Arabidopsis thaliana: one gene and its partner. The protein of the gene in region 2 interacts with the protein of the main gene of each other region in a pairwise test. Each region holds a gene or a part of one and is shown on either strand. Other genes may lie near its edges.

Region 1 (8,552 bases), on a different chromosome or scaffold from region 2:
ATGGTGACGGAATTCTCCTACCCGAGCCATGACGGTTGATCGGTTTTCGTCAGTATTAGTCCTAGTGTAGTTTCAGTTTCTTGTTGATTCACTCATTAGAGATTTGCAGGTAGTTTATACAAACTTTATTTCTTACCAATTTTCAATATCTTGAAATCTTGAAATCTTGAAACTAAGGCTACATTTGAAGATCTAATGACACTGCCTATAAATAATCGAGATTAGTTACATTGATGGATTATGAGGAAGCCATTCTGGTTTGTTCATCTTTGTAACTGTTCTGGAGTTTGGTTGCTTGTGGTGGATGGTGAATTGATAGCTTCAGAGGGTGGAATCATCCCCCACTTGCCTTCACCCTCTGTCGGTTCCATCATCTTCACTGACCCGTCATTCAAACCTACCGCAAACTGGTTTGGGTCTTGCGGGTGAGCCGCCACAACAAGAGGAGACAAGCCTTGATTCCTGTGAAAGCAAAGAGAATCAATGAGAAGAGTTTATAACTATTTTGGCTTATGAAAATATACCAATTTCTCATGTTTCAGAAGTCAATTTAAGTCTATTATACAGATTCATGTACCAAACCTTACAAAGTACAGTGATTTAGAAATAAGAATCTGATGAAATGTTGGATAAACTTACCCTTGAGGCAAGTAGGCGGATGGAGAGATACGACATCTTAATCTGAGACTGTCCGCGTCAAATACTCCAATGTTACCATCGCGGAAAGTGGTGTAGATCAGCTGGCTGTTGCATGCGTACACCGCTGAAGATATAGGAGCAGACAGCGAGTCTTGTGGAATCCACTGAGACATGAAAACAAGAGAACATAAGTCATTACAAATTTCAAAATAATGATTAAGAATATGTATATATGACCTTGCATTTCATATATACATGCCAGGTCAGAGATGATCCATTTTATATAAGTGGATTTACAGAGATGATCTCATCATAGTCATAGATACCTGTCGGATACATTCCATCTTGGAAGCATCAAATACCGCCAGTTGTGTCTCGTGGACTACCAGAATACGCAACTGATCCACATGAAACTGAACCCGCGTGTCTCCATTGGCGGCTTTTCCTGCTGGCATTTGTATTGCAACGGATTTCCTCTTCTCCCATGTGTCAATGCTCCAAAAGCAGATCTAAGAGAAGACAACAGGAAGAATAAGTATCCTCCTAGATTAGATAAGTCTAATGGTAGAAAATCCAGCAAGGAAACAACACAAAATAATCAAGCATTTTTCCCTTCAGTTGAGATATATTTACTACAGGACAACAACAACAACAACAAGACGCAGCATAACACACCTGTGCATCAGCACCAGATGAAACCAAGATGTTGAGGGCTGTAGAAAATGCTAGGCCTGTGATGCGTTTCTGGTGACCCTTTAGCTTTGATTTGACCTGATGGAACACAATATGCAAGTTTCAGATCGTTGATAGAGTTTTAAGGCAACATTAGCAGTGAGGGGAAAATTAAACTGTAAAACATATGTGAAGCTATGAGAACCATTTCTTCAAAAAACGTAAGGTTCACAAGTTTTTCCTTGTCATAGATCAAAAAGACTACATAAGTGGCAATGGTTAGTACTAGAAACTACTTACCTCATCCACTCGGACATTATAGATGTGAATCGTAGAGTCTTCCATTCCAATGGCGATGACGTTATTGTCCTGAGGATGGAACGCCAAAAACGTTGATGCTGGTGGAGGCGGCATGAATGTTGTCATCACCTATAAGGCCAATAGTTTTTTTGTGGAAATTAGAACAACCAAAAGAGTTTACTAGATTAGTGTGAGAACATTTTCAGTTAGAAATCTTGTGGCTTTTTTTAAGTTCATATAGATAATATATACCTTAAAAGTCATCATGTTGAACAACGAGACTTTTCCTCCAGCAGCAGACATGACATATGAGTCGTTCTTAGAGAGAGCGATGCATGGGGCAGCGTTTTCAAGGTTTACACCAGACACATCATTGGTCATAAGAAGACCACTGTTTGGTTGCCAATGCTGAGGAACAACAGTAGCAGTTGCCTGCATAATAAACAGTACTTAAATAAAACCGCACACAGCATGCATTAAGCTATCTCTAACTCTTTAAAACCGCAGACAGCATGCATTAAGCTCTCTCAAACTCTTTTTTACGATTACCTTTCCACTAGGGTTCTGCTCATTGGGAACCCACTTCCAGAGTCTCTGGATACCATTGGAACCTAGTGCCAAGATTCCAGCACCGGAATTCGTATACAGAAGCTGAACAACCTGCTTTCCCACGCAGCATGAGAAAATTAAGCCTCAATTTCAAAACATTTATAGAAATCCAACAACTTTCTGAGAAAGATAACTGCACAAACCTTTGTGGAAGAACCAGCGGTATCGGGTAAAGTAGCTTGGAAACACTGGGAAGGGTCCAAGATTTCAGCTAATTGCCAAGATTTTGGTTTGTCTGTTGAGTCATCGATTCTCGACTTTGAGGGATCAACTCCATTCTTGAGGATATTCAGAAAAAAAAGATTAGTAAATATTTTTTTTAAACATGACAAAAAAATCGGAAACAGTCAACTACTATAGTCAGAGAATAGTAAACTACAATTTCGACAAATGGAAGTTCACTTCATTTACAACCGAAAATCCAGAACAGAATAATAAATTATAGAAATGGCTAGAAACATAGCATTTAATGAGTGATTTTACCAGCATTTGTGAGTGTCTAACAGGAGAGCCTCGTTCAACTTTACAATTGACAGACGCAACAGGAGCACCAGGAACCTAACAGAATATACCAAAGTGTGTAAACCGAGACAGCTTGTAATGACAGTGGATGTAAAAAAGGGAAAAAATGTAATACAAAGTTGAGAAACATTACAGCTTTGAAATCAACTGGAGTCCTCATCGTTTCAGAAGCTGGAGTTTCCATCGCTCGAAGAGATCGGAAACCAGCTGGATTAGCTAGGATCTTAAATCCGTTATCTGCCGTAGTAACGGCTAGAAGATTGCCGTCCTTGTTAAATCTCAAATGGGGAAGAGCCTGAAGTTGGGACAAGTTATATGCAAACCTAAAAAGACGAACATCCAAGCAACAAGCCATGGGAAAAAGAATCTTTGGGACTTACCGGAAGTCCACCCTCAGCATCAGTGCTAGTCAGAACATTGATGTTGTTCATATCCCAAAATTTGATTTGTCCATCTTCACCAACAGCCAGAAAATGGTTTTTTGAGGTATCGAACTGAACCACACCTGCCAACTTTTTCTGAAACTCTTTATACGTCCTTTTAATTGATCCTTCACTTTCATTCCACTCAACTAGGAAAGAATCTCCATCTTTACTCGTTCCACAAGAGAACAATCTGAAGGGGGAAAAAACATCAGAAAGCACTGAAAAGGTAAACTTAAAACAGAAAGATAAGATTAGAAACTCAAGGACACAACTCAGTATCCTCCGGAGTAAACAAAAGAATCTGAAGATTTTGGAAACTGAGGAGTGAAGAACAAGCGGTATAGAAGAGGGAAATGTTTATGAGTTTAAGATCTTACCTAGTACCATCAGCACTGTAAAGCATCCTCGTACACCATTTACCGGGAGCATCATAGTCAACTCTGGAACCCAGATTATCATAAAGCCAGGCTTTTATTTTCCCATCTATGGCGGTTGAAAATATGAACTGAAATCCAAATAAGAACGAGATGTATTTTGGTAAAGAACAGAAATTCATAGGCAAGATAATACTATATGAAATGTGTCGTCTACTTTATTGTTCTTCAAACGGATTGGTAAAACAGTATAATAATTGATGTAAAATATAGTTTGATTCAATCCTTGCCGCACCTGAATGTTCTCTTTGTAATGAGGGCAAATGGAATAAACTGGAGCGTCGTGGCCTTCAAAAGTAAAATGCTTCCGACCAGAAACATCCCATACCTGTTCCACATTGATCAAGTTAGCCAGCTGCATTGATATCTAACAGTGAAACTTTGTGACTCTTTATCTCACCTTGATTAATTTATCATCTCCGCAAGTAATTACACATAGTTGTCTGTTTGGATTGGCGAAAGCCAAGTCGTTCACAGCACCGACATGGGCATCAATCTGTGAAAAAGTGATCTAGTCTCAGTGGGATATTATTACATCGCAATATTTCTCGTACAGATCACAAGTATGCTTACCTCAGTATGTTGGCGAAGATCATTAGGTCCAGAGAAAGCGTACAACTGAATTAGATGTTTTGTAAACGCAACCCCTGCACAATAAGAGACTGAGACCAGAGACCATAGACAACATACAATTAAAATCCAACAATGCATGACGGGAAGCTTACCAATGAAATTTCCATCCGGACTCCATGCAACGCGAGTGACAGATATCGGTGTTTCTTTAGCTATCAAAGCCTGAATGATGCCAAAAGAAAGGCAAGTATAAGAATCTTGCACAGCAACTAGTTTGCTGATACGTTTTATCTCCAACACTTCTCATAGCCATTTGGTTGAATTCCGCCTTTATACATCAAACACATAAACTAAAAACTTCTTAGCTGTAAAGACAAACCTGAAACTGATGTGAGCAATTAGACATATCCCATATCTTGAATGGCCTTGAAACCAGCCTCTCTCGAGCGGCAAGTTCCCACAATGTGATTTCTCCCGTCGCAGATCCAACTGATGGCATTCAAACGGTCATTCAGAAAGCCAAATAAGAGATAACAGAAATATAACTTCAAACACAGTTTAGAATTTGTATTCTTTTTTTCAAACCCCCATACCAAGAAGTAACGTGTTTTGCATAGGGTAGAACTCCATGCTTGTCACAGTGGACCCTTGATGCAGCGCCAGAGCTGCCTTTGTTGGCAAATCTTCCAGCGACCATGGAGCTTGCTGCCTAGGAGCAGGATATGTCACCTGGAAAATGATAAATGCTTAGAATTTTGAGAAGATGCAAGAATTATATAAACAGCTTTCCAGAAAAAGAAAAGAATTCGCGTTACCTCCTCCACAGATGGAGCAGGGCGGAGACGCTTCATTAGTTCATGATCAGGATTCTGATAATCTACTATACCTGGAGTTGCTGGTGGTGTTCTTGGTCGCTTCAAGATTGACACTTTTTGGAAGAAAAATAATAAGTTTTTGATGGAAACTGAAATGATAGTTATTGATAAGTCGAGGATTAGAAATCTAGAGGATCGTCAAAAACTAACTTTGATTCTGAGGTTGAGGCATCAAGGCAGGTGTAACAACGGCAGCTTGGACAGCAGAAGCACCAGAGGCAGCAGCCATCCAACTAGCTAAAGCACCAGCATTAGCAGCAGCAGGACCAGGTGGAAAGGGCTACATGTAATACAGATTCCACAAACATTAAGATTAATTTAGATTCAAAAAACATGATTAAAGCAGTCAAACATCGAGGTTTCTTACAACATGAGGTCCAAGTGACGGATAAGCTGCTGGCTTCGTCAAAGTAGTAACAGGCTGATTGACTGCTGAAGGTGCGAGAGGACCATTCGGAAGTGTGCAAGTGTGGTCTGTGAATAGAGTTTTAATATCTGGGTTTGGCCTAGGATTCTTGCACAACTGGTGCTGCCAATTGAGGCTGCAAGAGAACATATGCACAATGAATCATCCAACAACGAAGTCATCCAAACCTCATCTGCAACATACAGAATGGTCATGAGGAAAGAAAAAAGAAACACACCTTTGATTAATCAGAGTCCGCAGTCTCGAAGATCTCAAAGTAGGGAACATCAATTTATCACGAAAAAGTGGATTCGCTTCAATTAGTTTTTTAAGTTCGCCTAGCATTATGCCCCGAGCAGTTTTAGTGTCTCCATATTTTGAAAGCTGCTCATTTTCCCTGCAGATTCATGAAAATCATTGATGTCAAATTTCAATCCACAAAACGCAAACAATCGAGAGAGAAACTCGAGTATCACACCCTCTTTCACATCCAAACAAAAACAGTCTACAAAGCATCACGAACTCGACTTGGACTGAACCTAAACCAAGTCTCATATTCCTACTTTCCATAACAACAGAAACATCAACAAGGAGAGATCAAAATTCAATATATCATACCTAAAGTTTTGCAAAGTTAAGAGTTGAGTGATTTCTTTGTAAAGCTCCTCATTGAAAGTGGAGAAAACTCTCAAATCTTGCACTAGTATCTCAACTGCTTTTGCCTTCTCTTGCCTGTAACAACAGAGAACATCAAACTCTAAAACCACAAATCTTCAAGAGTAAAAAAACAAATAAGACAGCTTATAATCATACCGATCAAGAGCCTCGAGATACTTCTGCTTCCTAATTTCAAAGAAAATCTTCATAGAGTATCTGTTATCATCAACCTTAGTAAAACCTGACAAATACGTCTCAACATCATCCCATTCTCCAGCTAGAACTTTCTCATCAAAATACTTGGTATTGAAGAAGAATCCTGACTCTTTCTCAAGCCTATATTTAACAAATTACAAATCAGTCAATCCCAAAATTCAGCCTCTCACAACACAACACAAAACAAACCATATAAATAGACTAACCTGTGCACAGATTCCTTAAATTTCTCTTCCTCCAGAAATTGAAGTATCAGAAACACCAACTCTCGACTCAACGACGACATTCTCAACGAATCTCAAATCTGACGAGAAACGAAGAAGAGAGACGACGAAAGAAACACGAATCCGAGCTCTGAAGACACGAGCCCAGGTAAAGACTCTGATTTCGAGGATTTCTAGGGTTTTGAAGAGCTCTAGCTTTTAGAGAAAAATGGAGAGAGAGAGAGAGAATATATAAAGAAGGAGGAGAAGATTGGGGGATTGAGAAACTTTAGACCTCGCTTTCTTGGACGCGTTCTTCTTTGCACAGAGACATCGTTCTACCGACTTATCAGATATAAGCGGAGTCTTCGTCGGTGATAAGTAGGCTTCCTTATAAGAGAGGTAGGTTAAGTTATTATCAAATTGAGTGATAAGTTGATTTGGAGATAGAGTGGCGGATTCGAAAACAAAATTCAAATAGTGTGAATATTCTGTGCACACGTCCAGTCTGGTCCCCACATTTTTCTCTCTCCTTTATTATGTCGCTCTCAGCTTTCGATGCACTCTTCGTTTGGCTTTTCTCATATTATCCTTTTTTTCTTTTTCTCGCGATATTTTTGAGATCTCTTTTTCGCAAGATTTAATTAAGTGTTCGTGACAATTACAATGTGGACAATTCAACATCTCGCAGGTTACGTCATATATAATTATATATACTCATATTATAATCTTTGCTTTTTTTTTTAGGCATACACCAGGAGAATTACTCGTGTTCTCCATGGCGAAATGAGATTATTTATAAAAGAAAAACATAATATGGATTTAGAAAATAGATATTTGAAAAGAAAAATAATAAAAAAAGGAAAATAATATTTTTAATATTTCTTTTTATTTGATTTTTTAGGAAAAACATAAATATTAAAAAAAGACATATTAAATCTTGTTTTTTAAATGTACTATTTTTTATAATTTAAAATTTTTAATAACTTTAAACCAATAATATTCAATAATTTTTATTGAAGTTTACAATTTATCAATTATAACTAATAAGTATTGTATTGAAAACCTATAAAATTAATCTTTTTGAAACATTTTTTTTCTAGAAAATCAAATAAAAGAAACATATGGAGTATGAAAATAACTTATTAAGTATATATAAAATAAAATTTTATAGAGGCCGAATACATTAACTTTATTAGAATTAAGATTTACAAGTATTTAAGAGATAGAAAAAAATGATTAGGATATAACAATATGGTTTACATGTATATTCTTTATACGTCCTTTTAGTATGGAAGTACTCGTGTAGCTCTAATTTTGGAACTTTTTTTTTGAAATATTGATTTCGCTAAAGATTTAGTGAATGTATTTGCTAACTGATCACCAATGGAGACATGAGTAATCTGAAGCATTCCAGCTTGAATTAAGTGCTATATATATGGTTCATTCGAGAATAGAAAACCGGATTGGTACCGAGGTAAGTGGCACCAACATTTTCACAATATATCATATATATTCTTTATACCATTTAGAATTGTAAGCTTTGGTACCATATAGAGGCTAAATGTATTGACTTTATTTTAGAATGAGATTTACAGGTATTTATAGAGAGATAGAAAAGTGATTAGGGTATACTAATGAGAACAATACAATTTACAAATATATCTTATAAATTTAAGGATAAATGTCAATTTTCATTTTTTAAAAACACGATAGATACAAATCGAGGTTAATTCTTCAAAACCTAACTTAAGTAAAATAAGAAATTTGATACTATGTTTCCTAACTTAAGTAAAATTTACTTATTAACATAAATGTAGAAAATATTTTTAAATTTGTTTTTTTCTTGATAATTTAAGGATAAACTAGGTAAGAATGCGTGCCATATATGGATAAATTATATGATATTACATTTTATAAATTCTGTACTATTTAATTTTATAAATAGTTTTATTAATAATATTTCCAAATGACTCTATTTTTAATATGAAGATGTTTAATATTCAAATTTAAAGTGCATT
Region 2 (8,298 bases):
TTATTTAAGAACGTATACAAATGTTTTAAAAATGAATTTGATAGATATTTATTCCTTTTTTTTTTCTTTAGCAAAACATATTAAAATTGGAAGTTCTATATGACGGATGACGTGTTCACATGTTTTGTCAAATGTTACAGAATGCGATGGTGCTTCCTAAATACAACATGAACGCTAACGAGATCTTGTACTGCACTGGAGGACAAGGAAGGATCCAAGTGGTCAACGACAACGGACAGAACGTGTTGGACCAACAGGTGCAGAAGGGACAGCTCGTGGTCATCCCACAAGGGTTCGCATACGTTGTCCAGTCCCACGGAAACAAGTTCGAGTGGATCTCTTTCAAAACTAATGAAAACGCAATGATCAGCACTTTGGCGGGTAGAACCTCGCTCTTGAGGGCATTGCCATTGGAGGTCATATCAAATGGTTTCCAGATCTCTCCCGAGGAAGCTAGGAAGATCAAGTTCAACACACTTGAGACCACTTTGACCCGCGCTGCCGGTAGGCAACAACAACAGTTGATCGAGGAGATTGTCGAGGCTTAAATCAAAACGTTTTTCTTTTTCTTAATAAAGTATGGTCAGTTTGTAATCACGTCCCTTTACCTTTAACGTACGTGTAAAATATGTGTCTGCGGCACCTCACTTGTAATAACACTTTCTTCTCATAAATAAAAGGGAAGTTTCGAGTTACATACTATAATATAGCGCCAGTTTTTTCGTCTATTCCACAAAACATAAGTTTGTGTCCATCTACTGTAGCTTGAGCTTCGTATATATACTTGGTCTTTATTCTTTTTTTTTTCAAAATACGGCTTTCTGCTTTCTGTGGGCCTAAACGGAGGCCCAAACGAATTAAAGTTCCGTCACTTGGAAACGTTATCCTAGATTACTCTTGCGGGGAAAAGTGTAGATTAGTTCCAATTTTTGAAGTGAAAAATTGTGTTGGATTCTATGTCGTAACAAGAAATAGCATGGCCTCCAAAGATTATTCTCTCTTTCTTTAGGCTTTAGCTTCTAAAGCTAAGCTACGGAAAAACTGTATCATTCTTCTCTTTTTTTTGGCTTATGATCCATATAAGAGAGCTTGGAAGAGCTGCTTTTCATCTCCTGATCACTAGCTCATACAGTTTTTGTAATTTATTAACGAAACTATATAAAAAAAGGGAAGCCGAAAAAACAAAACAAAAAACAACCTTCATCGGCTGCTCAAATGCCAATCATCCCAATTGGTCTCCATTATTGTTTTCTCGTTACTACTCCTCCATCTTTGATTTAATAATTTTTTGAAAAAAGTTTTACTATATGAATGATATTCTCTGTTAGGGAAATATAAAAATTGTAAGCAAATGATTCTATCGAGCTATAAAAGAAAATATAATATGCAAAGGAAAGATGATAATCTAAAATATTATTTACAACAAAGAAAACTAATTGTATTCATAGTAATGGGTTTTCATATAATTTTAAAATGAGAATAAATCCTAAAAACACGCTAAATATAACAACATACATCGTCCTAAAAACCTAGAATCACACAAACCCTATACCCAAATGCCACACAACTTACATGTTTGATAATGTGATAAATCTATAGATAAAATGTTTGTATAATTCACGAATCAACAAATTGGCGAACCCCTTGAATTATGTTCATTGGAAAGCGAGGATATTTTCGGTCTCAAAACTCAATCCACCACATTCCATGTGAAGATCAGAGACCATACCACCATCCGATGATGATCCCATACATGTCTTGTCGTGATCCAAACTCGTCATGTCTAGTGATGACAACAAAATCTTCTCATAATTCTGATGATGATCACCACTGATGTTGACACTGTTGTTATTGTCGACGTAAAGCAAATTTAGCAAGGACTCGTGATCAGGGCCATGACTCGAAGGTGATGACAGCGAACCGATCATCATCTGCTCCCAACCACATGCTATGGTTTGATGATGACAATGGTGATGATAGGGGTGGCCGGTGGTCCTTGAAGGCTGCTTCATTAGCTGCTCCCACTGATCACAAACTTGGATTTTCATCTTCTCATGTTGATGATTATGAGGAGGGGATGATAGCAAAGGTGGCAACTGATTGTTGTAATTAAGATCCGGAGCGTCATTAACTTCAAGCCTTTGCGTCTGATTATCATTGTTATAATAATTATTGTCTTGTAGCGATGAGTCTCTGCCTTTGTTGAACACTCTGCACAAGACCCAGTCTTCCTGTGTCCACATACCGACAGAAAACGAGAGGACATCGTTAAAAAATAATCAAATAAACGTATGTATATAAAAATGCATGAAATGTTACGTTACGTGCGGTCTCGTGCATGCAAATGACCAAACACGCATTAAAGCCACTTTTGTCTCTTTCTTCAATTTTTATTTTGTTTTTTTGTTTTATCTGCATATATTCGTCATTCCTTCTTTTAACTTGCTGTCATCTCATCATGCTCACCCATGCATACATATATACGTTAATACGTACATATATACATACACTAATGCTTAGATACTTGACTCCAAAAATAACTAACTATCCGGAGAGTAAACATATGTATAGAATCTAGATTGGACGTCAGAAATAACCAAAACTAGTGTAATTAAGAGATGTTGATTATTAATCTCTTCATCTGACAATTCGTTTTGAATTTAAGTGTATGATTCTTTACATAGTAGTTAAGTGACTAAGTTTAAAAAGGTATAGCCGACTGAAACAAACAAATAAATGGATGAAAAATCTCTATTTTAATTGAATACACATGCATGATTCCTCACAATGTTTGTGTATATATAGTATGATCAGATTTCGTAAGTCCAGACTAAAGTTCGTGAGGTGCAAAATATACAGCTATAGACTATATGATATTGGATGGATGTATATAAATATGATGGATTAATGGATTACGACAATTTTTTGACAAGTTCTAAATAAATATTGAAAGTAATTAAAAGGATGGATTCATATGTTTATAGTGAGATAACTTATTGAGATTTTCTACCTAAAAAGAAAGAAAAAGTATGATCTCATTTTTCTTTTTCAAATTTGTTTTGGGATAAAATACCAATACGCTGGTACCATTAATTTGGTATCTATATCTATGCATGGGACATCCACGAATAGACACATGTCGTGAGTTTAGGTACGTTGCAAGTTATGGTTATCAAGACGTAATTATTATGAAATGATGATTACTAATTATGGTTAGTAGTGTCAAAGAGAGAAGGACCAATTGTTGGGGAATAACCAAGTACCTTAGGTGGGATGTTAGGACACTCAAGACGGAACTCGTGCATGATCCAAGTAGTTTTGATCCCATTTGGTGCTCTGTTTCTGTAGAACACTAGTGTTTTTCTCATCCCTACCAATTGCCTTGTACGTGGATCCATCACCGTTCGATCTTTTCCTGTTGCTTTCCAGTATCCGCTTACTGTCGCTCTGTTCGTGCGATATCCAGTAGCATACTTTCGATCACGGAAACTGAAGAAGTACCATTCCTTTGCGTTTAACTTTGCCACATCTATACACAACATACAAGAGATATATAATCATCAGTAAATTCTTAAAAGTGTTTGTCAAGATACCTATCAGTCTATCACAATACTAACTAAATATTATTTTATTTTTAAACATAAAAAATCGTATTCTAAATATTATATATAAAAGCGTCTAGTAAATTTGAATTATGGTGACTTTATGGTGATTTTATACCAATTTATTCAACATTAATTAATTTTTTGAATTGGGTTTATAGGCTTTCGATATAGAAACAGTGACATGTCAAAGGTTAATGTGGTGATATATGACTTGTGTGATGTAGACAAGACGAGGATGTGAGACATTATATTATTAGTTTTGGCAAAAAAATAATTACGATTTTGACTTCAGCGGAGGAAATTATTGCTCTCTCAAACATTCCTCCTATCAGTTTCACATTAATTTGATCCTTACAGAAGATGATCAAGAAGATAATGTGATGACTACTTACTTAAAAAGATTCCTTTATTTTGCCATAATTGAGAAGAAGAGTAATAGACCACAATTACTTTTTTGTAAACATAATTATCATAAACCATATCCAAAATAGAATATTATATGTATATTGCTTAGTTAATTATACTATTTATTCATATATTCGACTATAGTAACAACAAGATCGTACTGGTCATGTAAATAATTAAAGGTTTCTTGAGTCTCTAAAGTTGCTTGTGATATGAGGCAAAAAAAGGTCTTCGTGTTTACACACAAAGCCTACTTTTTTGTTTAGTTAATCTTTTAGTATACATTTATATTAATGTTCATTAATGCAACTAATTAACTAACTTTGTATTTTATAATCTGCAAGTTATCTTATTTAACAAAGTCCCCAAAAGTCAAAATTACGAAGACAACAAAAACTTGAAAAAGATAAGAAAAATAAAAAGATGACAACAGGATTCTCGGTCCCCTTTTAAAAAAGCTTCCTTAACTTCTCAAGGTATATCATCAAACAAAGAACCACAAACAAATAATGAAAATCACTAGAAACATACAAAGAACACACATATATATCTATATATATATATATCATGTTTTGATATGATGTAAGTGCACCTATAATTATTCATTAAAATTTACCATCTGATTTACGAGTATAACGACAGCTGTGATTTTGCATATTTTGCTGCTTTTGTACAGCCTCCAGATCTTTATTCTATAATTGCAAACATATTATTAAAAAGCTAGCATGTATCTCAACTAATCATGATTCATGACACTCCGGATAATGTTTACACTAATATTAATGCAATTATGATTTATGATCATAATTAATGAATCAGTCTAAAATCTAGCATTTATGTGAACTCATCACCCGTTTCACAATTAAAAGATATTTGATCTTTCATTCATTTTCTAGAATCACGAACAAGAAGATTCGGTTTGTAAGTATAAGCATATCATAAATCTGTAAATATGCAAATGCGTAGATATGTATTAAGTTGACAAACATAATTAGACACATAAGTAAACATCATCTAATTGTAATAATACTAAAAAGTTTATAGGTTAAGATTTACAATAACAATTAACAGACGCGGATGATAATATCTGATTTCAAGAATTAGTTTTCTTCTTTATGTTCAATTAATTTCAGGAATATTGTTTTCCAATGGAAAGTTTCAAGAATCTTTACGAAAGCAATTTGAAACCCAAGAAAAGCCAGGAGTGAAAAGATAGTTAAACAAATTCATATAACCTATGACTATATATCAGTTTGAATCCAAAAAATATAGAATTAAATATCAGAAATAGTAGAGATATATGTTACCAGGAAGCTCCCATGGCTCACAGATATGCAAGTCAATCTCCACAAGATCAGTAGAACCCTTCAAAGCTTCATCAACATCATCATCATCATCATCAACATCACCATGATCAGATTTGGCCCTAATCTTGTTGCAAAGATAATGACAAACCAACTCTTCATCACTTGGATGAAATCGAAACCCCGGTGGCAATTTGGACCCAATATCTTTCAAACCCATTACGTGAAGAAATCTTTAGCTTTATATATGTCTGTGTTAATGTACGAAAATATATATTTAAGAGAGTAATATCAACAAGGCGTGTAAGGTTCAAAGAAAAGTTTATTAGCAAAGGAGGAAGAGAAAGATAAAGAGGGAGAGGGAGAGGGAGAGGGAGATCGGTGTGTGTAGATACATATATAGGTTTAATTATGTATATATTTATAGTTAGTGGGAAATTAGCTTATATGATATATGGAAATACAATAATATAAATCATGCATGTAGCTAAGGATGTAAGATGGCAAGTTAGAGTTTCTTACAATATTGTAAGATTAATTGGGTCCATGGTTGTGTAATATATGTAGTTAGTTATGGTGGGAAGTTTCAAGAAAAACCAAAGTTACAAGAAATCTTAGTTGTGAGGTGTCTCATGGGACACTATTATCAAATATTCTCTTTTGGTTTCATTGTTATCCACTTAGGGAAAACAAACCAAACTTTTCCCTTCTTTTTCTTCTTGTTCGAATAACCGTTTCATTTAGATACTATTTTTTTTTTGTGAATAGTAGGTAAATTATGAATGTCTACGATCGCTAGTCTAGATTAGTCCGTATTTTCTTTTGGTATCTCAAAATTAATAAGAAAGTCAATCATAGTTTTCCGTTTAAGGATTGTTACCTAAACAAAACTTGGTGGTACGATTTAATTTGGAGATACAATAGTACTCTAAGATTAATTAGTATGAAGTTAAGCTTGAATTTTTTTTTTTAAATCAAAAATATTAGTAAGAAAGTCAGAAGAAAGTTAATTAGCATACTTTTATTTATAATACCTACAATAATGTGTTTTTTTTTTGCTGCCAACAATTAGTATTGACAATTAATGGGTAACATACGTTAACTGTGTTAAATCGATTATTCTTGGCCATATATTTAGGAAAAAAATAATATGGACCTAATTTAATATGTCAAATATTTTTTTTCTGATTTGATATCAAATTCAAAAGGGGTTGGCAAAGCATGATGTAAAGTTGTAAACGAGCATGCAAGAGTATACATATATAACTTTTACTACAAGGAAAAATTAGTTACGGAATTTATTTTGTTTTTATCTTGATTTTTTTCAATAAGAGAAACAATAGAAACCATACTTTATACTGAACTCCTTTTTTTTTTTTCTTTAATTAGTTTTCTTTTTGAACTCCGTGGGTTGGTCGATTTAATACTGGATTAGTTTTTCCTTAATTAGAGAAGACTAGATACACTGATTCATTTTGATTAATAAGTTGACATTAATTCTTCCACAATTAATTTACGCCTAACATGCTAATGTGGCATATGTGACGAGAGGCCAATTTTATTTAAATCGTTAGAGACAATATACTTCCAATATGTAAGAATGTATACGTACCAAATATCAATCAATAATTACCAGGTCAACTATATATAATATGTACGATTACATATATAATGGTATGTAACTATGTATATATGTACTCATGGTAACCGCTATCCAAATTGCTCGGTTATATGACTTCTAGATTTGAGAGCCCAAAACAAAAATCGTATAATATCTTCTCACTTTCTCAGGATTCACAAATATATTTCCCTCAGTCTGTTTGACTCTATCGCCATCTCTACTTTCTGAAGATATTAGTTAGCACATATATAACCACAGACTACACCTAGAGACGATAGAGTAAAACCAGATGAGTGAGGATCAATCTAAGCTTAATAACGTTGTCGGGGTAATAGCTTTGTCTGTCAACAATGTTGCACGCTTTGAGTGGTAGTGATACTGATACTGATATTTTAATTTCTGAAAATATTGTGGTATTCTTTAACAGAAATAATAATATTGTGGTATAAAGTGAGAAAATGTAAAACAATTAATTTTACTTTTATATACACTCTATACATAGTTAATTTTTTTGTGGGGGTCTATTCAAAAAAATAAAAGAATTTATGATAAACATTCTTAATTTAGACTAATTTTAATATGAGTTAATTACATGCTCAAGTGGTTTTCAATAGCATTCGAATGAGGACAAAAAGTAACATAGTCCATCGATCAATTTTGCAACTTTTTCAAAATAGCAAGCTAGCCATAAGAGGGGAGTAAACTTTACAAAGCGATCGTAAACCTATAAATGGGGAGTCCATGGTTAAAGACAGGCAAGACGTTACCTTTGAATTAGTTTTATAAATTAAGTGTTTAAAATCATTTTTTCTTTAATTTGTTAGCTACCCTTAGATAATATATAGATATTCGTAAAAAACTAAAATAAAATTTGTTTAAAGAAATTATTTTCCTAATTTTGTTAAAAGTTTTGATAGCATATGTATTATGTCTTTATGTTATATTCTCTTTGTCTCATTTATTTATAATGAGATGCACACGTAAGAAATTTTTTATCACAAAAAGTATTTCAATTTAAAATAGTACAAGCAATCATAAGAGATAATGCATAATATAAATGATCATAAAATATTAAATATATTTGAATTTTAAATAAAAACTTATGAAGTGTCTAATAAATTGAAACTAACAAAAAAAAAACTTAAAACATTTCATAAAATGCGACAGAAGGAATATATATAAAGAGATAGCCAGATACTATCATCCCACTAAAAAATGTCAAAAAAATCGATACTATCATTTTTGAAACTAGACACAATTGATGGGAGTAACCGAGTAAGGGGCCCATTAATGATGAACATGAAAAACCGAAGACACTGTGAACTTTGAACCAAACTCATTTTCTTGGTGTTTCGGAAAATCT

The links. The genes of interacting proteins can lie anywhere in the genome.
Region 1: the proteins of NAC074 (region 2) and TPR3 interact in a two-hybrid assay, tested with the Arabidopsis thaliana proteins (one study listed by BioGRID).

What each region holds. Positions count from the first base shown.
Region 1 is NC_003076.8:9,508,650-9,517,201, forward strand, and holds TPR3 (TOPLESS-related 3), read right to left. Parts: upstream 6,759-8,552; 5' UTR 6,615-6,758; coding exon 6,535-6,614; intron 6,449-6,534; coding exon 6,269-6,448; intron 6,188-6,268; coding exon 6,074-6,187; intron 5,853-6,073; coding exon 5,694-5,852; intron 5,592-5,693; coding exon 5,417-5,591; intron 5,330-5,416; coding exon 5,200-5,329; intron 5,103-5,199; coding exon 4,990-5,102; intron 4,904-4,989; coding exon 4,768-4,903; intron 4,664-4,767; coding exon 4,554-4,663; intron 4,397-4,553; coding exon 4,175-4,396; intron 4,098-4,174; coding exon 4,002-4,097; intron 3,930-4,001; coding exon 3,837-3,929; intron 3,673-3,836; coding exon 3,545-3,672; intron 3,358-3,544; coding exon 3,123-3,357; intron 3,038-3,122; coding exon 2,876-3,037; intron 2,779-2,875; coding exon 2,704-2,778; intron 2,499-2,703; coding exon 2,364-2,498; intron 2,272-2,363; coding exon 2,161-2,271; intron 2,044-2,160; coding exon 1,864-2,043; intron 1,741-1,863; and 11 more. Other genes in the region: AT5G27020 (uncharacterized protein), read left to right, coding at 1-32. UniProt on the Arabidopsis thaliana protein: Transcriptional corepressor. Negative regulator of jasmonate responses.
Region 2 is NC_003075.7:14,089,070-14,097,367, forward strand, and holds NAC074 (NAC domain containing protein 74), read right to left. Parts: upstream 5,834-8,298; 5' UTR 5,535-5,833; coding exon 5,318-5,534; intron 3,530-5,317; coding exon 3,264-3,529; intron 2,232-3,263; coding exon 1,656-2,231; 3' UTR 1,420-1,655; downstream 1-1,419. Other genes in the region: CRU3 (cruciferin 3), read left to right, coding at 141-548.